Linked DNA regions of Arabidopsis thaliana. The protein of the gene in region 1 interacts with the protein of each later gene in a pairwise test. Each region holds a gene or a part of one and is shown in the gene's direction. Other genes may lie near its edges.

Region 1 (18,317 bases):
ATCTGAAGTACTATCATTTATCCTTAAAATGGAATTCAAACACGTTTTATGTGAGATATATTTACAACTTATCATTAATTCCAACTCTTAATCATGTTTTCTCTCTTTTTGTGTCTCTATATCTAGTTAGTACAAAACTAGAAAAAAATGTATACAAGTTGAAGTTGTTATGCTTCTTGCTTATGGTGAAGGTTTTGAAACTTATATCTTGGTTATAAACCCTTTTATCTTTTTGTGTGAAGAAATTGTGTCGCTGATGTTTTATGAGCTATGCATCAAACAAAGTGAAAACAACAAACATGGTGTTTTGAGTAAGGATATGAATAGGTTTGGAAACAAATATAACATGCAATTAAGATTCAAGAATGGGTATAATTGGAATTCAAACTCAGATTCTGATCAAGTTGGCCTCAAAATAATTACTAATCTCAAGAAAAAGACTAATTTGTGAATAGGGAAAAAGACAAGTAGAGTTATGTAGACGATCAAGTTGATAGAGAAGGGAGCTAGTAGATTTGTGGAAAAAGACAAAAGACGAACGGCCGTTTGACGATGGAATAGTTCCACAAACAAATATGATGTGGCGTAGTCAGGAGAAAGTTGATGATGAATTTTGCAGATACAATCACGTGAATGGTTTTTGTGTGGTTGTGCACATCCACCATTGTCCTCATCCATATGTATATTGTGGATACATATTAGTTTCTAAAAGCTTTATTTTAATGTTTTAATTTATTTTTTCACATACAAACCATGAAAGTTAAACTTTTAGAGTATGATGAATGAGTGACAAGAGATTATATTTTGAAAACTTTCACAATTTGGTATTTTTGAGAGTTTAGTTGGTGTTTTGGAATTTTTTTTTTTTTTTTTTATGTTCAACTTTTTTAAAACATTTTTGTTATGAAATATAAATGATTTTGGATGATTTCATTCTTCTGAATTATACAAAGAAAGAAAGTTGATGCGGCTAAAAAACGGTGCTGTGAATAAAGCTGACACAAATGTAAAATGGAAGGTAGCGACAATGATCCTTCCGTAGCAAAAATGTTGATATGACTCTGAAGGATTACCTAAGGCTGGAATTTAATACTGAAAAAGCTATGAGATGTTGGATCTGATCCTTCGAGATTACAAAGTTCCAGACCAAAATGCTGACAACGCTTGAACAAACTCTCGGTTGTGTCGTAGTGAATGAATGTTTGCTCATTCATATCATCAGAGATGGTTTGATGAATAGGTCTTTGATTGATCCTTCACATTATTCAAATTTCCAATAATATTTATGGAGCAAAACACTTGTTGCAAGTTATGACAATCGATCATAATCACATGCATATGCACTTACAAAGTTGAATTAAAGGAAGATGTAATCCTGTGAAGGAAAATATTAAAGTTAGTATCTCTATCCAACATGCTTATCCTCACATTACTTAGCTCATCTCCGAAGTACTTTCCACTTTTAGTTAGAATCTTCTTCTCCTCTCTAAGAAACTTCTCACAATCCACTATCCCTTCTTCACACTTAAACCATGCAAATGCTGCACAAAACACACCAAACCAAATGAAAAACAAAAGAAGTGGTTCTACAATCATTTCTACTTTTGTTTTTCTTTATACGTACCTGGTTGTGGCTCAAAGACCCTGCCAAAGAAATTGCAACGTTGAGAGACGAAATCAGGAACACTGAAACGTTTAGTATCCTTTGCTGCTTGTTTCAATAGTTTCCACCTCTCATACATAGCATCATAACTATGGTCAAAGAAAGATTTGCCCGTTACATTCCCACAACTGTCTGACACAACCTTAAGAACCTTGGCTACTCTAAGCTGTGAGTCCTTTGAAACCCCAATCGTGTTGAGTTCAATGTACTCTATCATTTTCCTAGCCGTCTCTCTGTCTTTCACCAAAGCCCATCTGCAAATTAAATGAACAAGAATGTAACGTTTAAGAGACTTGTTCTCTGTTTTGCTCCCACAAAAGCAAAAGATTGTACTTACCCAATCCGTATCCCTGCATGGCCAGTGCTCTTTGAAGCAGTGAAGAGCATAACATCGTGATCAGCTGGTGATGTTATCGGTGTATACTGTGGCCAATAGTAAGCCAAATCATGGATCAATATACCTTCAGTACTGTTCACTACTGATTCTCTCAAGAACCCATCAGGGTTGTTTGGAGATGTAACAAGTTCAATGTATGGACCATCTTCTTTGTACGTCTTTGCATCTCCACCCCATCGATATAAACCTGATTTGAGGCAGTCTGTAATCAACGGGTATGTCTGCAACCAAACCGGTTATACATGTTAGATTGACACATATATGTGCTAAAATAACTATAAAAAAAAACTAGTATCCAGCAAAATGGCGTGTCTAACAAGACATACAGATAGTTTTGAGATGGCTATAAATATGACTCACACTATAATAGGGTGTGGCTGACACGACATTAATGGGACCGGAGTCATCATGTGGGGAGAGAGCATAGAGAGCAGCCTGATACAATTGTGTTGAGCCAGTGCCAACAACAATGAAGCGGTCTTGCGTTACAGCATTCCCAACAACCTTATGCACCCTCACAATCTCTTTGGCAAGCTCTGGCTCAAGAAACCAACAGAGGTTGTTTTCATCTGAAAAATAGCTAAGAGATTGCCATCCAGGTATCACCATTGTTGTCACCTCTCCATTTTCCTGCCAATATCTCTCATACACCGTTGGATCACCACTGCATAGAGATATACACATCAAGATTAGCATATATATACATTCTACCGTGTGACAGGAGTTAATCTTTGAGTCAACGAGAGCTGAGCATAGAGGTAAAGAATTAGTGGGTCCTTTTATTTAATGGAGAACATAAAACATCACCTTCTTATTTCTGCAACAGTGAAAAACATGGTCAAGTACTAGATCACCAGACTAGTCCTTTAGATTCCCTCAAAGGACATGAAATATTTATGTATTCAGAATCATGTCACCACAATGTGGGCTCTCTTTACTATTCCCTATTTAAAAGTTTTTACTTGACAATGGAATTGGAAAGAATCAAAAGAGTTTTATATTCTGATGTACCAAGTGTCTCCTCAACCTAAATTTTTCAAACTTGAAACCCATTGGCTATCACTACACTAGATTAATTGCGAGCATCCAAAAAGAAACATCACTCACTACCATCCTTTCCTCTAACATACCAAATCCTTATTATAAAAAAAAAAGTCACTCTCTTCTTTACTTTCATTAACAAGAAGAATGGCCCATTTCCAATTTAAGTTTTAATACTTAACAGTTGACATTTATGACAAATATATCTAAATTCCCTAAAAAGAAAACAAATGGACCACCATGATCAATTTGCAAAGTTTTTTTGTGTGTTTGATGAGTCATAAGACTCATAACAAAGTAAATAACAGAACCAAATATTCAAACTAGCGGCGCACGTTAAGGAAAACAAGCATACGCAGAACCAAGACAGAACTATAGAAAACTTGTTAGAAAATATAGGCAAGTCAATGAAAGATCATTAGGAAAATAGAATCAAAACCTTTAGATTGACTATTTTATCCCTCTTTCAATGTTTGCATTTAAAATCGAATGGTGATTATTGCATAAAAGCTTGGAGCTTCACTTGCGTGCTTAAAGGATAATCTTAGATTCCTTGCTATATAATCAAGTATAGGATAAGGGAGAAATTTCTCTAAAGATTCTAGAGGATACGCCATTAATACACATTTATTATTCTGAACACCAAGAAAAAATAAACAAGCAATCAAAAATTCCACTATAGTGACAAGAACAGAACTTTCTTTAGAAAATTGTAATCTAGCACATGGAAGAGAGTAAGTAGAAACTTACAATTTGAGATTGATAATTCTATCATCGTCTTCTTCAATCTTGCTATAGTTGCAAGATGCTGAAGACAACGAAGAAGATTCTGAAGCCGTGGTGGATACCACGGGCCATATGCTAACATACGCTGTTCTGTCCCATGAATCTCCTCGTTCTCTATCACCCTTCAAAATCTTTAGAATCAAGCTGAAGTTGATGGCCAACGAGAGGACCAACATATTCCTCCAAGAAAGAAACCTCGGAATCTGTCCCATTTTCTCTCAAAACTAAAACACAAAACCAAGAAACAAGAATGCAAAATGCTTAAAGAAGAAGAGCAGAGTGGGATAGCTGGATAAAGACCTCTTTTAAAAAAAACAAAGGAAACAAACAAGTGGTGTCCAACGAGACTGATCCTTTTTTTGGCTGATATTCGAAGTTATGATTTTTGTAAGAGATTAAAATAACCCTTGAAGAATCTCAAGAGATAAAGGTATGTATAACAATGTGTTTATATTGGATTACGAACCTAACTCATGTACTTAACTCATAAATATTACCAATCACGATTTTAAGAAATTGAATTTTTAATCCTAGTAGACAAATTCTAAACTGAGACTACCTATCAAAATACCTGTAGAATTGCAGGCAGAGGATCAAAAGGTCACAGAACAAATTGGCCACAGTGAAAGGATCGCTAGAAGGCTTTTTATATGTAAACTGAAAAAGAAGAATGTGTAATTAGGTCGAAGCTCTTTGTTTGTTTCTCTCCACGATAAAAGATATTTCCCATTGGGAAAAAGTTATTGTATTTTGGCTTTGGCGTGAAGAGTTTCAGCTTTTCGGTTTGTCAATGGCAGACCTTGGAAACGACAGTACATGAACCGAGTGAGACACTGAATTTATTCAGGATCTCTGTTTACTAGTACAAGACTGGTGAATGCTTTATGTGTAACAATATTTTCTAGATTTACGTCACTTCTCTGTTTTCACATCTAATTAGATTAGCTTAAGGCTCATTATATTGACTATGTAATATTTTGCCCTATATATGTTTAGTGTAATTTACACATTTGGACAAAACGATTTAGGGTGAAATTGTTGTAATAACATATTTTGGGGTGTTGATTGTGAAAGTAACAAAGAGAAGAAAATAATCTCTGCAAGGGTAACATTAAAATAGATAAATGATCCATGGACCAAAATCTACATATTGCCACGGCCCAAATTGTTCAAGAGTTTAGCAAAGATCATATGGGCTGGATCCAAGAGGTTTATTATATTTGGTCATTGTTCAAGTATATTTGTTTTTTTGTTTTCTTTTCATACATTACTGTTTATTGAATATGATTCTATCAAAGGTGAAGTTGTATAAAATGGGGTGGGATCATCATTTGTAAGCATTCAAGTGTCTCGTTCTCTAACTTTCTTAAGTTTGTTGGCTTTCTCTCTAACTCTTAAGTATCAATTTGGAGAAAAGCACGAAAATTTAAAATATGCTAAGACTACTCGTAATAAATTAATAAAAATCAAACTATGCATTATCTAAAATCTTCTGTATATAAAATTTACACAAAATTTTAAAATTTGAAAAAAAATAAGCTAGCGTTGAGCTCAAATCCGCTCAAGATCATCCTCTAGCACCATGTACACAGTGCATGTACGAACACTTCCAACCCTCGATTACAAAACACCGGATTAATATATGATCTTTCCTTAGAATGAGTGTACTCCACAAAGAAACATGAGAGGTTTGGAAGATAAACATAAGCATTACCCAAAAAACCTTATTCATTTGATCATGCCTGCCATCGTCTTACTTCCCTAAACATGTCCTTAAAATGAAGAAGTGAACCTACCACATAATTCAATTTCTCCCCCATTTTTAACATTCGTAAAATGTAAAAGAAAGGAAACTATTTTGTTAAGTATTGTTTTTATGGCTATCCTTTTTTTTTTTTTTTTTGTCAAACTATGGCTATCTTTTAAAATGGGTAGGTAAATATATAAATGATGTTAATGAATAATACTACTCTTTTAATTTATATATATATTTTTGTTTTTTGGAGATAGGTGATCCTTTATTCGCTCTATTTTATTTTAATCGGCATTCATTTTACAATTCACAGGAAAAAAAAAAAGAGAGAGAGGAAAAGCTGAGTAAAACCGTGCAGCCCTGAACTTCGACGCTTTCTCCTCTTTCAACCAATCCGTTGAACGTCGTCGTAATAAGCTTCATCTTCATCAATCATCATCACTTTCTTCTTTCTCCCACAGATCCTTCCTTTTCTCCTTCATCTTCCCCTTCTTCCTTTTCCCTCATCGCCCAGGAACACATCCGATCTGCACCCTCTTCGTTCGATTCTCACAATTAATATCTAGGGTTTGCGAGGACCCCCCCTCTCTATTCAAAAAAAGAGAGCAGATTTTCTCTATAATCCCCTTTGGTCAGTTTCTTCTCTACCTTTTTTTCCCCTTTGTATTCCAGAGGAATCGAGTGATGAGTTTATAGAATTATCGCATTTTGAAGTAATTTGGGTCCTTTTGTAGAGCTTGATTGACATTTCTGGAGACATTTGTATGTTTCAGAGCTCTTTTTTTGTTGCTGTTGTTGTTCTAGCAAGTTGATTGCGAAATTGTCAACATTCTGGGAATACGTCAATTGTTTTTTTAGTATTGCGGTCATTTAGTCTGGAACCTCTTTTGATTCCGCAGTTTGACGATCTTTCATACTTTTAGGTTTCTGTACCAATTTGATTGTCGAACATTGTCTTTCTGTTATGATGGTGAATTTTAGAAAGTATTTCAATTCATGTTGGAGAATTTGTATAGGCAGTCTGATTCTGCAACACATTTCACGGTAGCAGTGTTATAGCAATAGTTCTTCAGTGTCGGTCTTGTTTGATTCTTTGGGATTTGAGCTTCAAATTTCATTTGTGAATCTGATTCTGTATGTGACTTACAGGTTTCAAGTGGTGTAATTGGATCGTGTAGCTGCTTTTATAATGACCTCTAGCACGACAGGAGATCGAAGGTTTCTCTTCTTTCAACTTTATCTTTGTCATGAACTTTTCTATGTTTTTATACTGGATTATGGGTTATATATTGGCCTCTTTGCACGTTACTTGCATGATTTTTCTTTTGATTTGGCCTTTTCTTCATATGAATTACTTGTTTTCGTTGTGCTGTATATTCCAACTGTTGTTAAAATATAGAATCACTATATGTGCCTGGGGTATAGAAGGAAACTCAGGGTGTGGTTTTTCTTTCTTTGAAAGAGCTTGCTTGCATGATAGACATTCACCATGTATTTGTAATAATTTTATTCAACATTATTATTGATTTGCAACATGCCAACATCACCATTTAGATTAAAAGAAGGGAAAGTTGTAAAATGTGTGTAGAAAACATATGTAAAGAGCTGATCGTTTTTTTAATAAATTGTATAATCATTTATACTTTGCTCATTTACACTTAAAGAGCTTTGTATCCTCTGTGGTGATGATGAGAAATTACATGTGCTGGATATTAGCAGATGGGGTACTACAAGAAGAAGTGGCATGACTATATTGGGAAAGGTTGCTGTTCCAAAACCGATTAACTTACCAAGCCAAAGGTATTTGATGAGCGCATGATCACATTTAGACTTCATATATATGTATAATCTCGTTCCCTGAACACTTCTCTTCTGAATTTAAGGTTAGAGAACCAAGGCCTTGACCCAAATGTAGAAATTGTTCCAAAGTAAGTTTGTACCTGTTTGAGATGCTATTTCCCTCATTCTTTTTCGTCCTCAAATTTTAGATGGTTTAATTTTCTTCTGGACATCTATTTTAGGGGAACACTTAGTTGGGGCAGTAAATCATCACTGAATGCTTGGGGGACATCATCCTTGTCACCACGAACTGAAAGTGGCCCTGGTTCACCAAGCCACCTCAGTAATCGACCTTCTTCTGGTGGAAGTGTCACTCGACCTTCAACTGCCGATAGTAACAAAGCACATGACTCTTCTTCTTCTGTTGCATGGGATTCGAACTCGCGGCCTTCATCAGCATCTGGGGTGTTTCCATCTAATCAGCCATCAGTTGCACTACAGCGTCCACATAGTGCAGACACAAGACCAGGAAGTTCCCAGTTATCCCGATTTGCTGAACCCGTGTCAGAGACTTCTGCAACATGGGGTCAACATGTGGCGCCAGAGAAGTTGGTATGGTTCTTCCCTTTAAAGTCGTCTCTAATATTTATCGGGACTCTGCTAAGCATCTTTTTTTATCCTTACATCTGTGAAGCTCCATGTCACTCTTCTCTTACTTCACTTGTGCTTAGTTACAACAAACACACAGCAAGTTCTTATGTTTTTGGGACTGTGAATGGTAATTACTTTTTGGGATTAATGATTGATATTCAATCTAGATAGAACTTTAATAGCTGGATACATCATTCGTGTTTGCTATGGGAACAAGATTAGGATGCTAAATTTGTCAAATTATAGGGCACTTATTTCTCTTAGAGAAATGCTTTGTAGTGCGTAAGATAATCTGACAACTGAGTGGCACATGGTCTCCAATAAGTCTCGAGTTCTGGTTGGGCAAATAGAATTTGATGGAAGGGTTTTTGTATTATTATTTGGCAAACTTCAATCTTCAAGGTTTTTTTTGAAGAATAGTTGTGTACAATTTACCCACCTTTGCATTATCTACCATGAAATTTATCTTCATTCTTAGACTTCTCATTGTTTTCTACAGGGAGTTGCTCCATCAAAGAATGATGGGTTTTCTTTGACTTCTGGAGATTTTCCTTCCCTTGGTGCTGAAAAGGACACTTCTGAAAAGAGTACAAGGCCACAAGGTACCATCTATTAACAGTAAAAATTATTGTGTCATCCATGCATTACAGTACTTTGATTTAAGAATAGTTCTCTTTGCTCTTTTCAAAAAGTACGATCAGCATGTAAACTAGGAAAAAAAAATTGTTTCAACTTGTACACAATTCAATCTTATACTCGTCGTCCTTGCCTTCAAGGGAGTGACGTTAGCACAGACGGGTTCATTTTGAAAGTTGGTACTTCTAAATGTAATTCTGTTGAGAAGTTTATCTACACGGATATTCAGCAAAGTTAAAACTTTCGGGAATGACCTTTTTTTTTGGCTTGCTGTTGGTTGACCACTTTTTCGATCTTAGATGACCTCCTAATATGTGCCACTGAGAATTTTAGGATTACCTAGATAGAATGTGATGTGCTTATATGAAGGAGATACGTTAGACATGGCTCTTAGAAACTACAAATTTGCAGATGCTGGACCTCACGCTCGTCCTCCATCTTCGTCTGGAAGATCTGTGGAAGGGCAAGGTGTAGATTGCACAGAAGGTTCTTACTTTCAAACCTATTTTTCTATGTTTTGGGGATATACAACAGATGTTGGCATCTCATTTCGAGAGTTACTTATGTTTATAATCATCTCTTATGAGAGGGCCATGTTACCCTCACAGGTGTTCATGTGAATTCTTCTTACTGCTTTATTCCCCGTACATCTTTTTAGTGGATGTTCTCGCGGACACTATATTTGACCATATCTTGTCTTTTATTTGCAGAAGCTAATGACCGGATTGGGGATGCCAATTCCTGGAGAAGAGAGAATCAACCATACAGTGAAGATGCACCTAGACATTGTAGAGAGGAAGGGCAATTGGACTCACGTGGTTCACAATCTTATCCTAATGCTAATTTTCCTCCTCGGTATGATGCTTGGCGTGGTCCTCCAGTAAATAATCATCAAGGAGGTGGCTGGTACGGAGGGAACCACCCGTATGGTGCCCCAATGGGTCCTGGGGGTTTTCACATGGATCCTTTTCCATTTTATCCTACGCAAGTTCCACCTGCTCCTGGACATGGGGCTGGTCCTAGGGGTAATCACGCTAATAATGAAAGAATGTTCAGACCTCCAATGCTTGACTCTTATGTCCACCCAAGGATGCAGACTAGGCCTGGGTTTTATGTTGGTCCAGCGCCACACGAAGGCTACTATGGTCCTCCCATGGGGTATGGCAGTCCCAGCAACAGAGACCTACCTTTTGCAGGTAGGCCTACTGGTCCGCATGCTTATAACAATCATTCTGGTCAAGGTGGATATGATACGCCTGGAAGTTCAGTGTCTTTGGAACGGAACGAGTCATCACATTCTCAAGAAACACAAAGGCCATACAAGGTTCTCCTAAAGCACCAAGATGGGAGGTTTGGGGAAGATAATGCAAAGCGGGAAGAATTTCTTGGAAATAGGCTCCCGAATGCAGAGAAGATAGCTCAACAGATGCAAACTTCAAGAAACGAGAGGAGAGAAATCAGAAATGACGCAAGTGGTGAAGTACAACCAGTCAAAGCAGAACTTGCTGCCCCTGGAGATCCTAGTTTGATTCAGAAAATCGAGGGCTTAAATGCAAAAACTAGAACTAATGATGGTTGGCAAAATTCGTCATCTGTTGTTAATAGAGATGAGCAGGAAAGCCAACCACGTACACTCAATTCTGGGAACTCTGCAAATAAAGTTTCAGCCAGAAATCATCGAACTGGTCATGCAAGTGACAGTAAGAACTCATCACACTATAATCAAGGTGATTCTGCCACAAACAAGAATGCTGAACCCGCAGCTATGGGTGGAACTAGCATATTCAGGTCAGTTATCATTTTTCAATTGTGTTTCGGCCAGTTATGCCATCCTTTATGTCGGGAAAGTTTTGATGTTAGTACCTACAGGAGACCTACTCAACAGACTCAAGGCAGAGCAGATCCGCAGACCAAACGAATAGTGAACAGTGAAGGCAATGATGCTTGGCAGAAGACAACTGTTATGTCAGGCTCCTCCCATACAACTTTAGCTACAAACACAGAAAGCTTTCGCGAGGTTAATGTCGATGACTCTTTGGATACCGAGTCCATCAGGAGGCCTGGGTCGGGAATATCAGCAGACCCAAAGGATAACCAGGTATAAACTAGTTCATATGATTCTGGTTGTTATTTATACTTTTATGTATCTCTTGTTTGTAGTCATCCTTTTTTGGTTTGACTGAGTGTTTGCCATGTTCCCTTAAAAGCGTTCTACGATGAGAGAGTTAGCCAGGCAGCGTGCTCAACAGAGGCAGAAAGAGGAGGAAGAAAGAGCGAGAGATCAGCGGGCTAAGGCTCTTGCAAAACTAGAAGAGTTAAATAGACGTTCCCAAATATATGAGGAGGGTTCAGTTAAGAACATGGAAGCTGCATCTAATGCTTCTCCGGCTGACATGCCAACAGATCCTGGATCTCATTCATCTAATGCTACAAATTCCGTAGAACCTACTGGAGGATCAGGAAAAAACACAACGCAAAACACGAGGACTTCAACAGAATATGCAAATAATGTGGGCCCTTCCCAACAGGATAATCTTCCACGTGATGGCGGTGCCTCAAAACAGAAGCGCTTGGGTTATAAGCAGAAGCAAAATATTATATTTGAGAAAAAACCGACAGGGAGCTCTGTTGCTACTGCAGAGGTGTTTGATGTTGTCCCGTCTCCTGAGGTTGTTAATGAAGGTGTCTCAAGCAATAACTCAGACATGCCAGCGACGTCAACCGTTTCAGCTGAGTCAACTTTCCCGAAAAGAAAAAATAACAGGAATGGTAAGAAAAAACACAAGGCTGAGGAGACAGCAACTATGAATACTACAAGAGTTGCCGTTGGAAAAGAAACAAAATCGGGAGATGAGTCAATTGAGACTGCTAGGGCAAGGGCAGCTGAAATTGAGTTGGGGTCTGTTTCAGTTCCAAGCCTGGATATCAAAGTGTCTGGTGATTCGTCTGAACAAATCAGTTCCTTCACTAATGAAGAGTCTCAAAACAGAGCTAAAAACAACTGGAAATCTCAACATGTGCGTAGGACTCAAAGAAACTCACTGGTAAATAAGCCTGCAGAGAAATTTTCTGGCAACAATGCTGTTATTTGGGCTCCAGTACATCCACAGCAAAAAGCTGATGTTTCCACTGGTGGAGGGAGTCAGACTACTGTCCCTGAGTTTGGCACCTCTTCAAAAAGTCAGCATCAAGGACAGACTAGTTCTAAAAGCAAAAGAGTGGAAATTGAAAGATATGTACCGAAGCCTATAGTAAAGGAAATGGCTGAGCAAATCGTCAGTAAAAATCTAGTAACCTCTGCTCCAGATATGTCGGAGAATGTAAACCAGAAAGAAAATCGTGGAGGTGAGGGTACAGGAATTCTCCAACCTTCTGGTTCAACTGCAGGGAAATCTGGGTCTCCTTCAAAGTCAAGACATGGGAATGGTAGGCAGGGAAAGCATGGTAGAGAACATGCATCATGGCACCAGAGAGGTTCTGGAGCACCTACTAAAGCTTTGGAGGATGGACAATTTGTAACCTCAAATCAGCCCATCCGAGGAACAGTGAACTATCACTCTAGTAAGCAAACCGAACAAATTGCTGCCAAGGATCAAACCACATGTAATAAGGATGGATGGAACGATGGCTGGTATATGACTCCTGAAACGCATTACTCTGCTGCCGAAGAAATGGAATCCAGTGCTGTTGGAAAAGATCAAGGAATGAGCATGCACGGCAGGCAGCATGCTTCAAGAAGCAACAAGGATGGAGGAAGCAACTATGGTGACCCTAAAAAAGGCAATAAGAGGGATTTCAATAAAGCTCATACGCAGCACTCTGGCCATGGGTTTAGCCAACCAGATTTGCCTGCTGCTTCAAAAGAAGGTCGTGTCCCTGGAGATCATGTGTGGCATACAGCTAATAGGACAGGTAAGTATGGTGGTCGTGAAAGTACAAGGGACAAACCTTATGGATCTCAGGAAAAAAATGTTGTTGGATACGAGCATCAAGGGTTTACTACAGAACAAAAAACGACATCAGCTGATACACAAGCCCAGTTGCAAAACCGATCTACCAATAAGGAGGTCCAGGTTGAGCAAAATCCGAATAGTATGTTCCAAAAGAACACAGGGCAGGGTCGACGGTTTGGAAGAGGGCAGGAGTCACAAGGAGGTTGGGGTTTACCGGCGCAAGAGAATATGCACCATCACCATCAGAGGCCACCTTCAAACAGAGATAGACAGAAGCAAAATCTGCATTATGAATACAAACCTGTTGGGTCTCATACTTATGATGGAGAACGTAGTCGAGAACAATCGAAAGAGAGTTCTCAGACAGAAGGTCCAAGATACAGAGAGAAGGGACAGGGGCAGCAAAGGCAGGGTGGATACCAACAGCAAAGGGGTACTAGTGGGAGAAACGGTGGTCATGGATTCACTGGTGATAGAAACTAAGATTGGCCTCTTATTGTTATTTAGGTAGTAAGAGCTGCCATGCTGAGGATACTTGCATTTTGAGATATGGCGATTGAGGAAGCTAATTCGTAGGCACATAGCTTGGGAGATTGCTGAGAGGAGACCTATCCGAGGAGGTATTGGCAGATTAAAAAAAAAAAGTCTTTGTCTTGAGAGTTTATTATTATATGTTTCAGTCACTTGTTTGAATATGATTATAACTACTGTAGTAGCCTTTTGTATACACTAGATGAATACTCATGAGTATTTTTGTTTTTAAAGTTGCTTAAAAAAATATGATTATGTTTTTTGGTTGATTTTGATGTTCATTTTGATAAATTCCTATCTATTTAATATAATTTTTTTATTTTATGATTAGATTTATCTATAACTCGAAATATCAATTCTAGTATAATATATATATTTATATCTATTATTCTAATATTTTATTGTCATGATCACATATAAAAACAATATATGATATATTGATACAATGTATGCGTTTTGAAACTTGTCTAAATTAATTGTACAAACAATTATTTATTCCATATATTCTCTTGTCATCAACTACACAATCACATCATGATATGCTAGTAATTCAAGTCACACTTTAATTCTTTTCACTTGCATATAGCCATATAGAATCTCATATTTTTTTTTTTGTATGTCGAATGTCGAATGTCTCAAATGACTATTATATTATAAAATTGTATATCAATGTTACTAAGTTATTAGAACGCACCAAAATGTACAGAAAAAGTTCATATGATAAATTATATTCACAAAACGTAATAATAAGAAAATATCTAATTAAATTTACTAAATTTATATGAGGTTAGGTAGCAAACATAAGAGTTTTAAGAGTTTGGATTTTGGAATTGGTGGTGTTTGTTTCTCAAACTTCATAAATTAGAGTTTAAAATGTTTTTTTATTTTTTGTGGTCGGCATAAGAGTTGAAGTTTTAATAAAATAAAATAGTATCTGATCATTTTATTGGAGAAAACATAAAAGATGTAGTATTTTATAAGAACTCGAATTGGTCAATTTTCAAAATGTTAGTATGAAAAATAAAATATCTAGTTATATGTACTCGTATCTCTTGATATTTTTGGCTTTAACTTAGGGATGTTAGTTTGATTTGTCTTTCTGGATAAGCCAGTAGTAACCAAAAAAGTCAAAATCTTGTTGGCTAAGTCAGAAATTAATTAAATAAACAAAAGGGCCCATTAAATTAATTATTTTAATAAATATTCTGTGTAATGATATATAGTATAAAACGCGACCGTCTAAATTCTTGGTTGTTTACGAGAAAAGCGGATTACGGGTACGCTTCTTCTAAGATAAATCTCTCCCCGATTCTCTCTTTTTCTCGCTAGATACTCTTTTTCTTCAATTAGGGTTTCTTCTCGCTTGCCTTTTAATTCTCTCCAGCTGATCTGATCTCCGTTACCGATGGAGTCTACTGCTAACGCACTCGTCGTCAAGGTTAGAGATACAACCTTCCTTTCTTTATTTGCGAATCGTCAGTTTTCTCACAGTAATTGTCGGTGATTCTGGGTTTTCGTGGCGATCGTCTCGTTTCTGTTGATTTTGTTGCTTGTAATCGGTCCTTTCCTTTTGAATTTCGCTATGGATCGACTCTCTCTCTCTCTGTCTCTGTATTATAATCTTAAGTGTAATTCGAAAATTTTCCAGACATACTTAGCAGTATCTGCTTGAATCTTATACCCGAACAATGATTAAAACTATAAGTTATCGTAATTAGAATCGTAATCTATTTCTTCGACAATTTTTTTTCATTTTTTTCATTGAAGTGATACTAATTTTGTTTGTGATTATGTAGGTGAGCTATGGAGGTGTGCTTAGGCGTTTCAGGGTGCCTGTTAAAGCTAATGGACAGCTTGATCTTGAAATGGCTGGTCTTAAGGAAAAGATCGCTGCTCTCTTTAACCTCTCTGCGGATGCTGAATTGAGTCTGACTTACTCTGATGAGGATGGGGATGTGGTTGCCCTTGTTGATGACAACGATCTCTTTGATGTTACTAATCAGCGTCTTAAGTTCTTAAAGATCAATGTGAACGCTGGCGTGTCCACTAACTCTGCTGCTCCAGAGAGTAGTGGGAGTTCCACACCTGCGGGTATGCCTAACCCGGTTTCCAAAATCCAGAAGGGTATAAATGATGTTCTGATGGCTGTACCTAACCCGATGCGTGATACCATATCAAAGGTGTACATGGACCTTGCATCCAAGGCCTCAACTTCTAGTCCTGTAGTTGGTGAGATGCTTGATTGCATTTCCAAGCTAGGGCAGCTCTCAATTCCTCAGGAAAGTAGTCCTTGCTCACCTGTTACCAAGCCTGGTTCTTCAGGTGCTTCCCTGAGCAGGGATGTTCCTTCCGCTGGTGGAAAGAAGGATATCTCTGAGAGGACCCAGACCGGAAGGAAACCTGTTAATCTGAATGAACCCACTGGCGCTCATTCAAAGACTTCTGGTCATGTACCAAACTCGTCTGGACTGGGTGCTAATTTCAACGAGTGTCCCTTTAGTGGCAGTACCATGAATTACTCCTGTCCAAATCCAGTTAACCTCAACAAGCATCCTCGTCGTGTTTGTCATTCCAAAAAGAGCACCAATGGTGATTACTGGACTTCATTGGGTGTATTCCATAAGGGCATCCGTTGTGACGGATGTGGAGTTCTTCCAATTACTGGGCCTAGATTTAAGTCGAAAGTGTAAGGATGCCTTCTACTTACTACTTTAGAAACTATAAACATGCTAGAACTTATTGTGCTTATATGTTTCGCTTGTGAATATTGTGCAGTAAAGAAGACTATGATCTGTGCACCATCTGCTATTCGGTGATGGGTAACGAGGGGGATTACACAAGAATGGATAAGCCTGTATCCGTTCAACATCTGCATCCTTTTAGAGGACCGTTTACCCAAGTATTGCTCTTCTTCTAAGTTTATAATTACTTTTCTTCTTGTTTATTCTATGTGTCTTCTCTGATAGCTATGAGGAATTCTTACCCTTTTTTTTTTGGTATAGTTTCCTAATCCTTGGTTGAGCCACCCTGTGCCACGAGCAACCAATGGAGGTGCACCTCTCAGGTGTACTCGCCCTAAACTAGACAGTCGGTTTGTCCTTGATGTGAATGTAATTGATGGAACCGTTGTTGCTCCATCCGCCCCATTTACTAAGATTTGGAAAATGAGGAACAGTGGTTCGCTGGTGTGGCCACAGGGCACACAGATTGTCTGGATCGGTGGGGACAGGTTCTGCAACTCCTTGTCAGTTGATTTACAGGTTAGAAACAATTTCCTTAGTTTTCACTCTTTTAGCTCGATTCTTACCACTAACAGAGCAATTATGTTGTTTGAATTTACACTCGATGGCTTGAGTTAGGTTGTTTTCTTCACGAAGTGACTATAGCTGCTTGATTATATAATACTAACTGTTTTTTTCTCTCTTTACACATGGCAGATTCCAAAGGAGGGTGTGCCTATCTATAGTGAACTTGACGTCAAAGTTGATTTTGTTGCACCAGAGTTACCTGGTCGATACATTTCTTATTGGAGGATGGCTACCTCTGACGGTGCTAAGTTTGGGCAACGTGTTTGGGTGTTGATACATGTACTTACTAGATTTGTGCAGCTTCTGTCCTTTAATTCTTTGTCTCTTTCTATCATATGTGTTTGATACATTTTTTCTTTTTGCATGGTTAGGTTGATGCATCTCTGAAGAATTCTGTTGTGAATGAGTTTCATGGACTGAACCTTAATGCCTCCCCCTCCCTTGATGAGAATTTTCCAAGCGAATTTCTAGGGATTATGAATTATGAGTCAGCTCAACCTGGCAGCTCCAGTGTCAATCCTGGGACCGTGAAAGGTACTGATCTAGAGGGCGAAGTTGGTGAAACACAGGCCGTGGAAAAAGAAAACCTTTTGGTTGGTGAAGCTCATCCTGCTATCCCTCACGGTCATTCTCCTTCATCTTCATCTTCTTCATTTAACATGGTCGACTTCCCAAGCATGCCTGCTGTTGAGGTCTTGTCTGGTGGTTCTTCATCTACTACAAAAGACGTGCCAGTTCCTCTTCAGGAGGATATAGAAAAGAATGACGTGGAGATAACCATGCTCAAGGAGCTCGAGGAAATGGGTTTCAAGGAGATAGATTTGAACAAGGAGATCTTGAGGGATAACGAGTACAACCTGGAGCAGTCTGTTGATGCTCTTTGTGGAGTTAGCGAGTGGGATCCAATCCTAGAGGAGCTTCAGGAGATGGTAAGTGTGTCTGCACTTGGTGAATTTATTAAATCTTACTTTGCAGATTGGAATGTTGAAAATATTGTGATTTTGCAGGGCTTCTGTGATGATGTGACGAACAAGAGACTGCTGAAGAAGAACAATGGAAGCATCAAAGGCGTGGTAATGGATCTCCTCACAGGGGAGAAGGAGGCTTGATGAGCTCTTTGGTTTCTGGCAACTCTTCTCTATCTCTCTTATCTATCAGGAATAATTATGTTTTATAAATAAAACCTGATCTCTTAGTTTGGTTTCGTGCTGCGTCACATGGTCTGTTCCTTTGCTTTGTGTTGGGATGATGTTACTATGTTAACTCTATCTAAGACATGGATGGTTTCTTTCTTATTTCAGTTTAGTTTATGTCGTTCTGCTCCTCGGGTCAAATGAATGGTTGAGTCTTTTTTATTGATTTCATCACTTTAGGCCTTTTTGGTCTCCATTTCTCAGCTGTATTTGGCTTAATGTGAGTTTGTGAGAAGAGCTTTCCTTGAAACAACGTACTGTTTTAATTCACATTTACCCTCTCATCTCTCTCAATCAGGTGACATTTTCACGTGGTCGAATCATCGGCATGGCAGTTGCAATTAGTCATGGTGGTCGGCTTCATTAAACTGTTTACAACTGACAAAACTTTGTTATTCTATCCATAGAAACCATTCAAAAACCAATAAAAGTTTTTGAATAGACCAATAAAAGACATTCATAATTGATTTCACTTTTTGAGAAAAATTTACAAGTTTGAAGTAGTAACATGATGAGTTTGTTAGAATCTCTTTGAAGACGAACGAGTGAACAAACTCCTAAGGCTGTTTCTGCTGTCTCTAGTTTTCTTCTTCTTCATCTTCTTGAGGCCATCATTATCTGAAGAA
Region 2 (14,635 bases), on another chromosome or scaffold:
GAGAGTGAGAGAGCTTTTGTCTCCGCCGTTTTATCTTTTTTATACTGTGGTTCGTGGATTGGCTGGTCCGGTGGTTTTGTATGATATGGCGACGTTTTACGGTAGCGGTGCGGCGGATGGAGTGGTTCCACGGTGGGCTTGGTTATCGTGGCTTGTTGTGATTGGGTTTGCTATTTTGGTTAGTATTTTGTGGGTTTTACGTAATTGGCTTGATTGGTTTAGGGAGAATAACTCTAGCAAGAAATACAAGTGAATTGTTTAATTGATAGATTCTTAGCAAATTTCATATAAATTTATTTGATTTGTATTTGTGTAATGCAATATTAACAGAATTGTACTTTTATGTGAATCTAAATCTTATTGTCATTTGCATTGTAAATATTTCTTAATTGTTTGTAAAATTAATCTTATGTAAAATTATATATATGTTAATCTTATGTAAAATTATACTTGTCAATACTTGAATGCTTAAACCTTTTCTTTTCAGCCCTTGAATTTTGTTTTGAATTTTTATATAATGATGTCAACATCCTTTAATATATGATTTGGCTAAAAAGTTGCCTAACTCATGGTATAAGTAAACAGTTTTAGAAATGTTCACGCCACATTTGGCCCTCATGGGATAGCTTGGATGACTCACATATTTGGTAAATTATATTAAAACGTTTACTTAAATTGGAGTTGACCAAGAAAACAAATTAAAAGAGGAATGTGTCATGTCCCCTCATGAGAGTTTTTAGATAATGTTTTTTTTTTCTGTTCACAAAATATATATTTGTTTTTCATACCAGGTCTCTTGCTGGTTCCATGTTTATTTTTCACGAATGGACTCTCCCATTTGTGAGAAACTTATTCGTCAGGAAAATAAAGAAATTCAAATAGATTGATTACACAAAATTTAAATTAGCCAAGACGCCAAGACACATTTGAATGACATTTTTAAATGAGATGTGGCTCTTAATACTCAAATCTGACCTATTATTTGCAAAAAACAAAACATTTAAGTTGAAAATTTTGTCCACAAGTGGATGTAATTATCTCCATTGGTTTGGTAAACCTTGTCATTTTATTTTTAGTAAGGGGTTTTGGCCGCAAAAATAGAAAAAAAACTACGCAAACCGCAATCTTCATGAGATTTAATATTTTGGATTTTATTGGGCCTTTCCACAATTTTGGCTCAAATGATATTTCACTGACTTGCAATAGATATGGCCCAAATAATCACTAGACAGTTTTGAAGAAAACATAAGTTGTACACAGTTTCCTCAGACCTAATAAAACGTGTTTATGTAAAAAGTAAAAACCTTAAATTTGAAAATTTATAAATTTTTCAGCTAACTTTTAACATTTTCCTTCAAAAATATTTGTTAAATTCGAAATAGAAAAAAAACTATTGCCAAAACCATACAAAAATGGAAATTCGATAATTCAACGTGAAATGGAAATTCTCATATCGCTCCTTCTATATATACATGGCTTTGCTCATCATAATTTTCATCAAGCAAAAACTCTTACTTTCCTCTGTCTTTCAAAGTTCGTTCTCTTAAATTTTTCTTAGCGATCTTTCAAAAGTTTCCACAATGGAGATGTTACTTGGTGGACAAGCAACCAATGGAGCTCTTCGTTCAAAGACGAAGATAGTTTGTACTCTTGGACCAGCTTCAAGATCGGTGGAGATGATTGAGAAGCTTCTCAAGGCTGGTATGAACGTAGCCCGGTTCAATTTCTCCCATGGTTCTCACTCTTACCATCAAGAAACTCTCGATAATCTCAGAACCGCCATGGACAACACTGGTATCCTCTGCGCCGTCATGCTCGACACAAAGAGTCCTGTGATACGAACCGGGTTTCTCAAAGAAGGCAAACCGATACAGCTAAAGCAAGGTCAAGAGATCACCATCTCAATTGATTACAAGATACAAGGAGATTCCAACACTATCTCCATGAGCTACAAGAAACTTGCAGAGGATCTCAAACCTGGTGACGTGATCCTTTGTTCAGACGGAACAATCTCTCTAAATGTCTTGTCCTGTGACAAGTATCTCGGTCTTGTTCGTTGCCGATGCGAGAACTCTGCTCTTCTTGGAGAAAGAAAAAACGTTAATCTTCCTGGAATTGTAGTTGATCTCCCAACACTCACTGAGAAAGATAAAGAAGATATTATGCAATGGGGAGTTCCGAACAAAATCGACATTATCGCTCTCTCTTTTGTTCGTAAAGGATCTGACCTAATCCAAGTAAGGAAATTACTTGGAGAGCACTCAAAGAGCATCATGCTTATGTCAAAGGTGGAGAATCAAGAAGGAGTAATGAATTTCGATAAGATCCTGGAGAATTCTGATGCTTTCATGGTGGCTAGAGGAGATCTTGGGATGGAGATACCAATCGAAAAGATGTTTCTTGCTCAGAAAACAATGATCAACAAGGCTAATGCTCATGGGAAACCAGTGGTCACAGCCACACAGATGCTTGAATCCATGACAGTCTCTCCTCGCCCGACTAGAGCTGAAGCTACCGACGTAGCAAACGCGGTTCTTGACGGGACAGATTGCGTTATGCTTAGCGGAGAAACTGCTGCTGGAGCTCACCCTGAGACTGCCGTGTTAACAATGTCAAGGATCTGCAAAGAAGCAGAGGATTTCATAGATTACGACATTCTCCACAAGAAAACCCTAGGAATGGTTTCGTTACCGTTATCTCCAATCGAGAGCTTAGCTGCTTCAGCTGTTTCGACTGCGCGGAGTGTTTTCGCGTCCGCGATCGTTGTTCTCACTAGAGGCGGTTACACGGCGGAGCTTGTGGCTAAATACAGGCCAAGCGTTCCGATTCTGTCGGTGATTATGCCAGAGATTGCTGAATGCTCGGACTCGGTAGCTCATGTGGCGAGACGTGGTTTGATTTACCGTGGGATTATTCCGGTGGTGGGATGTTCAGCTAGAGATTCAACGGAGGAGATGATTAGATTAGCTATAGGATTTGCCAAGACGAAGGGAATTTGTAAGACTGGAGATTCCATTGTGGCTTTGCACAAGATTGATGGTTCATCTATTGTCAGGATAGTGAGCGTCGAGTAATCCAATTCTTAACTTTTTTTGTTTAACCATTGTTTTTGGTCACATGATAATAAAGTTTTAAACATAATTTTCAGTTTCATTATTTGTCGTAGTTGTTGAAATTTTGAATAACACCCAAACAAACTAATAATTTTAAATAAAGTTATATCACAAGTTTTGTTTTGGCCTAAACTAAATTTTCTCTTAAGCATGAAGTGAATCTGCATCAACCCCATTATCAGAATCAAGCCACTGCATTTCCTGAGTCAAGTCTTTAATCATCATATATATATCTTGACAAAGAGGATTTGATCGATCTTCAGCATTAAAGGCCTTAACTTGATTTCTAATCTCAATCCAGCTCCAACCTGGAACTTTCTTTACACCTCTCTCCTTCATCATCTTCTTCACACTTGCTTTCTCTTCCCATTTCTTGAGATCACTATACATATGAGACAACGAAACATACGTAAAATGATCTTCTGGTTCAATCTCTAGCAAATGGTTAGCCACTTGAGTAGCCATTTCGATCTCTCCACAAGCCCTGCAAACTCCAAGGAAAGTTTTCAATACCATTGGATCAGGATTCAACGGCATTGATTCGATTAACTCTTTCGCTTTGTTCACGAGCCCTGCTCTGCCTAAGAGATCAACTGCAGCTGCGTAATGTTCCATTCGAGGTTGGATTTTGTAAACCGGTTCCATTAAATTAAGCAACTCGAGTCCCTCTTGTATTAAACCGGTGTGGCTACAAGCTGTAAGGATTGCTGTGAAGGTTACATGGTCTAGCTTCACGTTTTGGTTACACATTTGGGAGAAGAGATCAAGAGAGACTTGGCCTAAACCATGTTGAGCGTATCCAAGAATCATTGCGTTCCAAGCTACTGTGCTGTGTTTGGAGGAAATCTGTTGGAAGCATTTTCGTGCACTCTCGATTATGCCACATTTTGAGTACATCACGATCAGAGAACTGATTACAAACTCGTTTGATACGAAGCCTGATTTAGTGGCGAGCGCGTGGATCTGCTGACCTAATTGGAGTGTTGCTAGGTCCGAGCATGATCTGAGAAGTGCAGAGAAGGCGTAATCGTCGACTTTTATCTCTGAGGATCTTAAGTAGCTAAAGAACTTTACCGCATCCTCGCTGAGACCCTTCTGGGCGAACCCTGTAATGATCGAATTCCAAGAGATAAGATCCTTAGATTTTAAGGATTCAAATAGAGACAGAGCATCTTCCATGGTGCCTGTAGGAAACTGAATATACATAGAGATCAATGCATTTGTTGCAGAAGTTACTTGTTCCAATCCCTTCTTTATTACCATACCATGCAAAGACTTCCCAAAAATTTGATGTTCTTCGCCAGAGCAAGCGCTTAACAAGCCGGTGTAAGTATAAATGTCGGTTTCGACCCAATGTCTTTGCATTTGAATAAACAGTTCAAAAGCAGATTCCTTTAGCTCATGTTTAGAGAAACCTGCAATCATCGAATTCCACGAAATCAAGTCTTTTGAGCCACCCAAGCCATCAAAAACTCTCTTTGCATCTGATACTGACCCACAATCTGCATAAGAGCTGATCATCGCATTGCATATAGTGATCTCGTGTTGAAGCCCGAGTTTCAAAACCTTAGCATGAACTTGCTTTAACAAGTTACAAAACATAGGATCATCAAGCAAAGTAAGAAGTGGAGCGAAAGTGCCAGCATCCATAGTCACAGCAGCTTTCATCTCCATCAAACCCAACAACCAAAAAGCAGTCTTGATATCTCGCACTTGCACAAATCCAGCAATCAAAGCATTCCATGAAACAGAGTTAGGCTCTGAAATCTCCTTAAAAGCCTCAAAAGCATCTTCAACTCTTTCACATTTCGCATACATATCAACAAGCGAACTTCCAACATACACATTACACTCATAACCTCCCTTTATAACCAAACCATGCACTTGCTCTCCAAGATCGAACCTTTTCACAGAAGCAATCCCTTTCAACAACCTACTAAAACTATACCCATCAACATCAGATCCAGATCTCTTCATACATGTAAATAAACACCATGCATCCTCCAATTTCCCACAGCTTGTGTACCCAGAAATCATTGTGTTCCAAGACACGGAATCTCTCTTAGGCATTTCATCGAACAACATATTGGCATAACCCAAGAAGCCAAATTTTATATAAGAATCCAAAATTCGATTGGATACGTATATATCTGAGATGGAACCACATTTAATAGCGTAACAGTGAGTGAGTGAAAGCTTTTGGAAAGAGTTTAAAGAGCTCTCTAGTAGAGAGGCTAACAACGCTTTCATTCATCTGTTTCTCTGTGTTCATATGATGTCAACATCAAAGAGAGTTTATTTTATTTTATTTATGTATAAAAATATATTTTAATTATGCTTTTTTTTGGTCAAATAATCAGTTTATTATTAACTTATATATATACCTGAATTTACCTAGTAATGGATTATCAAGTGGCTAGTTAGTTTGATAAATTTGTGTTAATAACCTTATGTGGATTAATAATGGCTTAATTAAGTAAATCAAAACACATTTGAAGTTTGAGTTATTTGTAAAATTGTATTTTTTCAGTTAGACTGGAAAAAAATACCTTAGTTTTTTTTTTTTTTTTTTCTAGATTTCGGTCATGGGTGTCACGACATAAATTTATATATACATATATATGAAGTATATTTGAAATCTATTTAAAAAAAAAAGTCATAGATGAGTCGATTTACCAATAGAAACTACAAAATTTACCTTTCAACACTTAAAAGGCTTCTTAAAATTTTGATTGATGCTTCATTCGTTTATCAAAGAGACATACGGCTTAAAAGTTAAAAACCACATGGCGAGTCTAAATCCGTATGGCAGAAAACTATGGACTTTTCTATTAAATTTTTAAAACAAAGTTATTATATATTTAATATTTGGTGTATTTCTTTTAAATGTAAAATGTGTTGCAAACCAAAAATAATAATTATTACAATGGTTTGTAGAGATGTTGCTATTGGCTAAAAATAATTTGTTGTTTTTTTATATTTGATATTTTAAAAATTCTGGTAATGATATTATATTGTTTTTTTAAAAAAAATTAGTGGATTCGACCTTAAACTATAATAACCCAAACTAGCCGTTGCAAGTGCATTTCCGAGGAAGACTAGCCGTTACGCTCTTATTCCTTTTTTTTTCTTTTTCTTTCTTTCCTTCTTTTTAATCCTTCCCTCAAATATCTTTTTTTCCCTTCAAAATCATTAAAACCCTAAGCGACGCTGTTAACACTTGCGAATTCAATTTTCAAAATCACCGATCCTTAGACTCCATGGCGTCCAAAACAGCGGCTGCTAAAGATATCATCACTTTACACGGATCTGCTGCCATCGTCAGCGAATTCTTCTGTACGTATCTTCATTTTTTCTTAGACTCAATTTCAGATATCTTCTTCTCGATTTGATGTTTTTTTTTTCCTTCTTCTTCTTCCTCCAGGTTACGCTGCGAACAGGTGAGAATTGGATCGGAACTTTTCAATTTCAGTGTCTGGAAATCTTCGATTCTGTGATTTTTTTACAGTGAAATTGATTCGTTATTGGTTTCTGGGTACAGTATATTGTATAATCGTGCAGTTTATCCAGAGGAAAGTTTTGTGAAAGTGAAGAAATATGGACTTCCGATGTTGCTTATTGAAGATGAATCCGTCAAATCTTTCATGTCTAATCTCACTTCTCAGATCTCCGGTAATTTTACAAATGTCAGACTTTTATTCAATGATTCCTTTTGTGAGAGAGTCTGAGACTTGATTTTGTTTTTGGTCTAAAGAATGGCTTGAAGCTGGGAAGTTGCAGAGAGTAGTGTTAGTGATTATGAGTAAAGCTACTGGTGAAGTCTTGGAGAGGTGGAATTTTCGTATTGAGACTGATAATGAAGTTGTTGACAAAGGGTCAGTTTTTTGTTTTTAGTGTTGATACTTTCGCAAGTTTGTTTGTTTTCTTTGATTCTTTGTTTCATTATGTTATCTTTATGGAACTTTTTAGTGTGTCGAGGGAGAAGAGTGATAAGGAGATCATGAGGGAGATTCAAGCTATTATGAGACAGGTTGCTTCAAGTGTTACTTACTTGCCTTGTCTTGATGAAACATGTAAGAACCAATTCATAGGAACTTTGAGTGATCATCATTTCGGAACTAGTTTGATTTGGATTCTCGTTTTTGATTGTGCATGTTGTTTGTATTAGGTGTGTTTGATGTATTGGCGTATACGGATACTGATGTGGCTGTTCCATTCACTTGGATCGAGAGCGACCCGAAGTTGATTGCTAATCCACAGATGGTTAAGTTACACGGTTTTGATACCAAGGTAAGGAGGAGGAAGAATTTTGAAACCTTTATTTATACACTTTGAAATGTCTAAGTATTTTGGTGGTTTCATACTTTGCAGATTCACAAAGTCGACACGCTTGTCTCATACAAGAACGACGAGTGGGATGAAGAAGAGTAACAGAAGTCGGGACACACGTATGCAAGGCTCTTTGTTCAGCTTGCGTTTATCTCTTTGGGAGTTCTCATTGTTCTTAAAGGCACGTGAATCCTTTATTCACACACCTATATCGTTTTCTCTTCTGTTTTTTTTCTTTTTCTGAATTGTATGAGAATTGGAATCCTGTACTTGTGTTGTGTTTTGTTCAAAAGTTATCAGCTTTTTCATTGTCCCTGTCTCTTGTACTGAACCGTTTTGTTTACCAATCAAACTTTATGGCTCTTGGATCAAAAAGAGATTTCTCAATAAACAAATCAAATTCCTCTGATTCACAATGGCATGTCAAAAGAGGTGCATATGTACAGTGACTGATGAAAATAAAGTATTTTGGATCAAAAAAAGCTATTTATAGTGACTGATGAAAAATAAAAGGTTTCTTCTAGCCTTCTGTAGTAACCGTTTTCTCATCTCATTCCTCTGTATAAGCGACCGGATTGAAGCTCGTCCATATTGTCTATGTTTTGAAACGCGTCAAACTCTCTCAGACATGTCCATCCTCGTCGAGCCAAGAAATCTCGGTAATCTTCTTCGGTGTAGAATATCTTCTCCTCTTGATGGACTGGTAACGGATCAGATTCATCATAGTGGCACACTCTAACGGCTATCCCTGAATTCAAATGGATATTGAGAAACCTCTAACCAGAGAGTATTCGATGAATAGCATAGAAGAAAGAGTGGATTTACCTTCATCAATGCGGAGTATATAGTTCCCTAAAGGCATGTCTCGGTCAAGAGAGCGAATAACCTGTTCTTCATCTTCTAGCCAAAAAGCTCGTCTTGTTCTCAATCTAAACGCGGATCTGATAGCTTCCTTAATTGCTTCAGCAGTACCATCAATCCCAACTCGTCTTGTGTAATCTCCAAATTTCACCGTTATGATCCTCCCAGCAAATGGCTGACCATCAACGCCTGCTTCAAACATGACAACGATTAGTAGTAGTTGCCATAAAAGTTCAAAAGCTTAATAAACAAGGAGAGGCTCTCTCTAAGTTAGATTGTCTGGTTACTTACCATTTCCAGGGGTGTCTCTCCAATTCCAAGGAGGAACTCCATTTGCTGTGATGGGATCAGCAGCAATGGGGAGAGGAAGACCATCATGATCAAGCTCCGTTTCAAGATTTAGCGTTGGCCTGCCATTAGCTGCATACAGATACAACTCATATCAAGACTAAAGTGACTAACACTACTTCCACAAACCAAACAAAATCGGCTTCACATTATCACTAACATTCTACAATTTGGTATGAGTTCACTTTTATTTCACTGAATTATAAGAGAATCATAAGTTGTTGCACAATTGTTTACCCAAAGTTAGGACTGATACAACCATTTCTCTCAAAGTAATTCCCCAACTAAAAAAGATTTCAACACCACCATTTATATATACACTCAAAGATTCAATAAATGTGAGATCAATACCTTCAACAGATGTAAATGAAATACCAGTATCTTCAAAACCTACAAGAAGATAAAGATAAAGATCAATTTTAGAAGAAAACCCAAATTTACTATAAAAAGTCAATCTAGTTTAACAAACCAAATCTACAACTTTATAATTAGCCATTAATGGTCAAAAGCCTCTTTAACCAGGTTTAGCACTAAAAGAGGAACAAAACTAAAACCAAAAAAGATCAGTCTTTATCTTCTCAATCCAAATCTAAACCAAAACCCATTAAGAAATTTTATCCAAACCTGCAACAAATCAATCAGAATCCCCAAAACCAAGCTAAAGATTGTACCTTTATCTGTAAATTGCATAAAGGAATCAACTTTAGCAGAAGATGGTGTAGTAGTAGCAGGACTCTTATAGAATGCCACTTTCTTCTTTCTTTCTCTGAAAATATCTTCAATCTCATTGTAATAAGACATCTTCGTTGATCCTCCACTTGTTGCTTTATCTTCATGTTGCTTAGCTTTCTTAAACTCTTTCAATATGTTCCTCCACTTGTCCGTACACATAGATGGTGATCGATCAAACCCTTTCTCTCTCATTTTCTTAGAAATCTGTTCCCAGAGATGTTTGTTAGATTTGGAAGTGTTGAAAAGATTGTCCATTTCTCTCCGTAATGAGATTAAGGTTCGAGTCTCGTCTTGTGCCCATGTCTCTGCTCGTTTCTTTGGTGCTTTGATGATCTCATGATCCTCTCCTCCACTGCTTTCTCCGAGGATGATCTGGTGTGGCTGTAGATCTCCGTTTGATGTAACATCGCCGATCATCATGTTTATGTCCCGTGAAGGATTGTTGTTATCGGAAACAAACATGTTTTCTCCAAGGAAGAAGGAGAGATAGCAGAAGATGTCAAAGATTAATATAAAAGGCGCGTGAGTCTTTAATTATTTGTCAAAGCTTATCTTAAATTTACATAAATGATCTCTCTTGTTTGATTATTAGATGAAGAACAAGAACAACCCAAAGATGCAAACTTTTAATAGATCTCCAATAATAAAGATAAGAGTGTTCAACAAATATGAAATGGAACATATTTTTATTGTTTAAAAAAAAAAAGGTTCTAGAGATAGTTGAAGATCATCTCCATTGAACCGTGGAGACTGAGTCATTCAATCATAGAGAAGAGAAAGGCTCAGATGGAATTTTATACCTAGAGAGTTAACTTAGGGGTCGGCTTCGAACAAACAGCACACAAAAGCTCTAAACAAAACATTTCTTCGTATTCAGTGTCAATGATGCACCGACCACAATGATAACACCTCTGTATGCAAAGAGAACAAGCACGGCATTCCTCAGAACCTTTCTTTTTCCCTTTACAATCTTCTGCTGGACAGTCATACACAAGCTTAAAATTTTGACACTTTGGGCACATCTCAATATCTAGTGCCCGGTCATCATCACAGGACACACAAGCTTCTCCTCTATGGTAAAAACGCGGCTTCTGAATAGTCTGCTTGACTTTATTGTCAATGTTCAACAAGTCAATCAGTTCATCGTAGTGATCTTTAGTCACTCCAAAGAGGCCACGAAGTTGTAAATGCTTCACTTGAAGCTTTCCCGCAGACTTCAGATCCCTCAAGACGCTCAAAATACCATCGATAGTTATCCTTGTGCATCCAGGCACACCAATCTGCCAACCACAAAACAACATTCGGTTTTAATAGGATCCCACAAATCAATTCAATTACCAGGCACTTCTATAAAAACTTACAATATTACTTATTAGTAATCCAAATACGCTTTAAAGTAAATTAAGGAAAGAAGCTCACCTTGACTACTTGTCGGTTGCGCGCCACCACCCGCTTAAGACAATCATCAGTAATTCTACAGCAATCTACGATCCTCAAACACTGCATAGTACCCTGAGCCCTCTCAGTTAAATGCAGTAGAGCCTCTTCCGTGATCTTCTCATTCAACGGTCGACAAATGTGGATATGCTTCCAAAGTAACGTGTCATCACAAACAGTAGTATGCAAAGACTTGCAAACCATACTAACTGAAAGAAGATCCTTCCCTCGCAAGTGATAAAGACAAAAACCAATCGCTGGATGAACATACGCATCCTCTTCTCCATTATTGCAGCGATCACTACTTCCTACAACTTCACCATTCCTCGCATTCTCATGGCTCAATACCTCATCAACACTACTAGCAGATATGAAAGCACCATGACAAGATCCATCACCATCTAATGCCCCTCCAAACCCATTATTTTCCCCACTACTTTCAGGGAATTTACATGTGGAAAACAGAGACCCATCAAACGCCCCACCAAACAATGACTCTGATCCATAACTGTAACCACTACTCTGAAACTGCATTGCATTGTTCCAAAAGAAACTCAATCCAGCAAACAGCTGCTGACGGTTTCCATCACCAATCCAAATGTCATCTCTTCTTCTTCTTCCATATTGGTTATTATAATCATCCTCCAAATCCTCAAGCCATCCAGTAATAGCCGTGAAAGTATTGTTGATATCCATACCAAACGGATCAGATGGCAAAACATCAAGTATATCAACAGAAGAAGCATCTCCTCCAGTATTCTTCCTTCCATTATCGAAACTTGAACACCAATTCCCATTGGCTATCATCATTGGTTCCTCAGATAGATGAGAAGAAAAAGGTCTATGTGAAAAATTTAAAGCCATTTCTATTAATCTCTATATACACTTTAAACCTAACAAAACCAAAAAAATCCCTCTTTTGTACACAATCCCTAGAAAAACTCAAAACCCCCTAAAGAAGATAGATCAGATCCGAAGATAAACTAAAAAGTTATTTTTTTTTTTGGATAATCGAAAGATGAATTAATAGATCTATGGAGAGAAAAAGGAAACTCTTGATTTCAGATGGCAACAAAAAAATACTAGGCACCAGAAATTTTGAGAGCTTCCTTGGAACCCTAAAAAACCCTAGAAAAGAAATTCGAAATTGAGACGTATTAACAACCGAATTTGGGTAACACAAAAAGAATGAATTGAATAAATTTGATTTTTCCTTTTTTTTTTTGTTTTCCTTTTCTTTTTTCTCGAACAAAAACTAAACTAGGGTTTTCAGAAATTACGAAACCTAAATCCTAAACATTATCAAAGAAGAAGAAAGATACGAATTTGATTGAATTGAAGAAATTGAATCACCAAAGAAGAAGAAGAACAACGCGATCAACGGGAAAGCCAAACCGAACCCTCGCCGCGAAATTAAAACAAGATCTCTTTTTTTGTGTGGGGGAAATCGAATTGTAATCAAACGAAGTTTTTGATTCAATCACTTTGGGAATTCAAAGAAGAGAGAAAGAGAAAGAGAGAACGGGTTGGTGAATTTCGTCGACCGAGTCAAGAAGAGAGAAAATAATGGAAACGACGAGAAAATTGTGCGAAAAATCTCAATTTATTTTATTTTTAGGGGTTGAGATTTTACGAGGGAGAGAAAAATAAAAACTATTGGAGACAAAATCAATTAAACAAACTTAAATAATAATAAAAAAGAAAGATAAGATTAGAGTGAAATCGTCAAAATCTTTAAACACGTGTCATTTTTTTTGTTTTTTTTTGTCATTTTTCAGTATGAAGATAAACCAGGAATATATGATTTTTTTTCTTTTCTTTTAACATGGATTAATACCAGAAGTGTTTGAGCTAAATATATTACGATGATATTTATCTATCTGCATATAAAAATAAATGTGATTACAATAACAAAATAAAAATAAATAAAAAGATAAATGTGATTACGATGAATAATTCTACATAAATATTAATTTTACTGTGCATTTCTCTTTGTAACGTTCAGATCTTCAATAGACAGTTTTATATGTATAATAAACTTTAATTATTGTAAAAAACATTATATTTTATTGTTAGTAAAATGTTTGTTTAGTATCTTTTTAGTTTGTTGATTTTAAATAGAATTAATTTTGTCTATTGAAACTACTTTTTTTTTTCTTTCTATTTTTGTTTTGATGTTGGTTTAGATAAATTCATTATTGGGAGATTTTGAAAACTATCTTGTTTTTGAGTTTTCATTTGAAAAATACATCTTTTTCTATTTTAAATAAAAATTGTAATTCTTGATATATAAGATGACAAATTTATCCAGATTTAAAATAAAAGTTGTTTTATTCATAAATTAAAACAAAATTCGAAATTTAGAAAAACAAAATTAAAATAAAATAAATTCGAATTCTTAATTATGTTTTCAACTATTTTTTGAGATAAAAAGTTATTGGTTTTAGATATTATAAAATTTTGAAAAATATTCTAAAGTCTATCACCTAATAAACTTGTTTGCTTATTTTTTTGGACGAAAATTTGTTTAAAATATTTAAGATAAAAATTAAATTTGAATTCATATAAAGTCTATCACTTTATTTATTTTATATATTAAAATTTTATGAAACAATATTTACAAATATTTCTAAAAAGTCTATCACTTGATAAAGTTTAATTTTACTTTTTGGACAACATTTTGTTTAAAAATATTTAAGATAATAATTATCTTTAAAATTATTAGTTACATCAAATTTGTATTTATGATTTTTTTTTTGTTTTAAGTTTTAATTTTTTTTTGTTATTTCCTAATTTTACTGAAGCTGTTTTAGTACTTTATATATTGAAAATTAATTGTTTAAAAAAAGAAATAAAGATAGGGTATTTTTCAAATGAAAACCCAAAAATAGGTCATTTTTCCAAATTTATTCATTAAATATTCAGTGCCATGAGTTTGAGACATATTTATTTGGTAGATTTATATACCTAGAAAGTGGAACAAATAATGTTTTGCTTTAAAAACCACAAAGATTCACAATAAAAGAATATAAATAGATGTGATATAGCAATAAAGATAGTTGTATCTTGTACATAGATAAGCTTTAGTAAACAAAAAAACAAAAAAAAATATCTTGTAGATAGATATCTTAAATACGATCCAATAAACCAAGGCAATATAAAATCTGAAATTATTTTTTTTTGTGAAACAAAAACTGGCATTTTAAAAGCACAAATCAGGTAAGAAATGTGTTCTTAGTTAATGACAACCAGTTATTAAAATCATGTCTAATGGTTTTTAAAAAATAAATAAGAAGGAAAGTGTACCAAATAATATTTGTTAATAAGTTCTATAAAACAACACGTAAAGTTTGATATATACCGTGTTTTAGCAAGGAATACTTCGTAGAAGAATATAAACTTGGAACATAATAATAAAAGATGAACTTAAAACTTCCAAGATTCGTCTCTTCTTTGTGACATATTCCAGAAATAAAAGAAAATAATTGTTCAGTGAACACAACAGAAAACGATTACTTTTTATAAGATATTTATTGGGTCAATAGTTTATAGAATAATAGAAGTCAAGTCATATTACAAAGTGTTGAAAAAAACTTTAAATAGTACAAATACGTCAAATGAAAATGTAACAATTGTTTTTTTTTATCAAACACGTTGAAACATGGTAATATTGGGCCCGTAAAGCCCATAAGGTCTTGAGAAGAGAAGTCGCCCATAATAAGGTTTGGACAAAAAAAATTAAGTCATTGGAGTCGTCGTCTGTCTTTCCCATATTAGGGTCTTCTTCTTCCTTTTACTCCTTTTTTTACGCTTGA

The links.
Region 2: the proteins of MOS1 (region 1) and MAD2 interact in a two-hybrid assay, tested with the Arabidopsis thaliana proteins (one study listed by BioGRID).

What each region holds. Positions count from the first base shown.
Region 1 is NC_003075.7:12,726,596-12,744,912, forward strand, and holds MOS1 (modifier of snc1), read left to right. Parts: upstream 1-6,082; 5' UTR 6,083-6,207; exon of another isoform or gene 6,208-6,271; intron 6,272-6,789; 5' UTR 6,790-6,829; coding exon 6,830-6,858; intron 6,859-7,356; coding exon 7,357-7,440; intron 7,441-7,523; coding exon 7,524-7,568; intron 7,569-7,661; coding exon 7,662-8,031; intron 8,032-8,569; coding exon 8,570-8,672; intron 8,673-9,075; coding exon 9,076-9,192; intron 9,193-9,416; coding exon 9,417-10,494; intron 10,495-10,575; coding exon 10,576-10,804; intron 10,805-10,913; coding exon 10,914-13,142; 3' UTR 13,143-13,456; downstream 13,457-18,317. Other genes in the region: TAR2 (tryptophan aminotransferase related 2), read right to left, coding at 1,345-1,541, 1,625-1,917, 2,001-2,281, 2,421-2,724, 3,852-4,099; NBR1 (ubiquitin-associated (UBA)/TS-N domain-containing protein / octicosapeptide/Phox/Bemp1 (PB1) domain-containing protein), read left to right, coding at 14,596-14,628, 14,987-15,876, 15,966-16,089, 16,193-16,450, 16,628-16,777, 16,870-17,427, 17,506-17,607; AT4G24700 (uncharacterized protein), read right to left, coding at 18,212-18,317. UniProt on the Arabidopsis thaliana protein: Involved in the regulation of the chromatin structure and DNA methylation at the SNC1 locus. Regulates the expression of SNC1 at chromatin level.
Region 2 is NC_003074.8:9,496,859-9,511,493, forward strand, and holds MAD2 (DNA-binding HORMA family protein), read left to right. Parts: upstream 1-6,197; 5' UTR 6,198-6,373; coding exon 6,374-6,449; coding exon of another isoform or gene 6,450-6,453; exon of another isoform or gene 6,454-6,537; coding exon 6,538-6,553; exon of another isoform or gene 6,554-6,654; coding exon 6,655-6,785; intron 6,786-6,867; coding exon 6,868-6,988; intron 6,989-7,082; coding exon 7,083-7,186; intron 7,187-7,281; coding exon 7,282-7,403; intron 7,404-7,484; coding exon 7,485-7,544; 3' UTR 7,545-7,812; downstream 7,813-14,635. Other genes in the region: AT3G25950 (TRAM, LAG1 and CLN8 (TLC) lipid-sensing domain containing protein), read left to right, coding at 1-253; AT3G25960 (Pyruvate kinase family protein), read left to right, coding at 1,581-3,074; AT3G25970 (Pentatricopeptide repeat (PPR) superfamily protein), read right to left, coding at 3,258-5,363; AT3G25990 (Homeodomain-like superfamily protein), read right to left, coding at 7,988-8,190, 8,268-8,492, 8,595-8,723, 9,003-9,041, 9,323-9,845; AT3G26000 (Ribonuclease inhibitor), read right to left, coding at 10,184-10,663, 10,803-11,684. UniProt on the Arabidopsis thaliana protein: Required for the execution of the mitotic checkpoint which monitors the process of kinetochore-spindle attachment and delays the onset of anaphase when this process is not complete.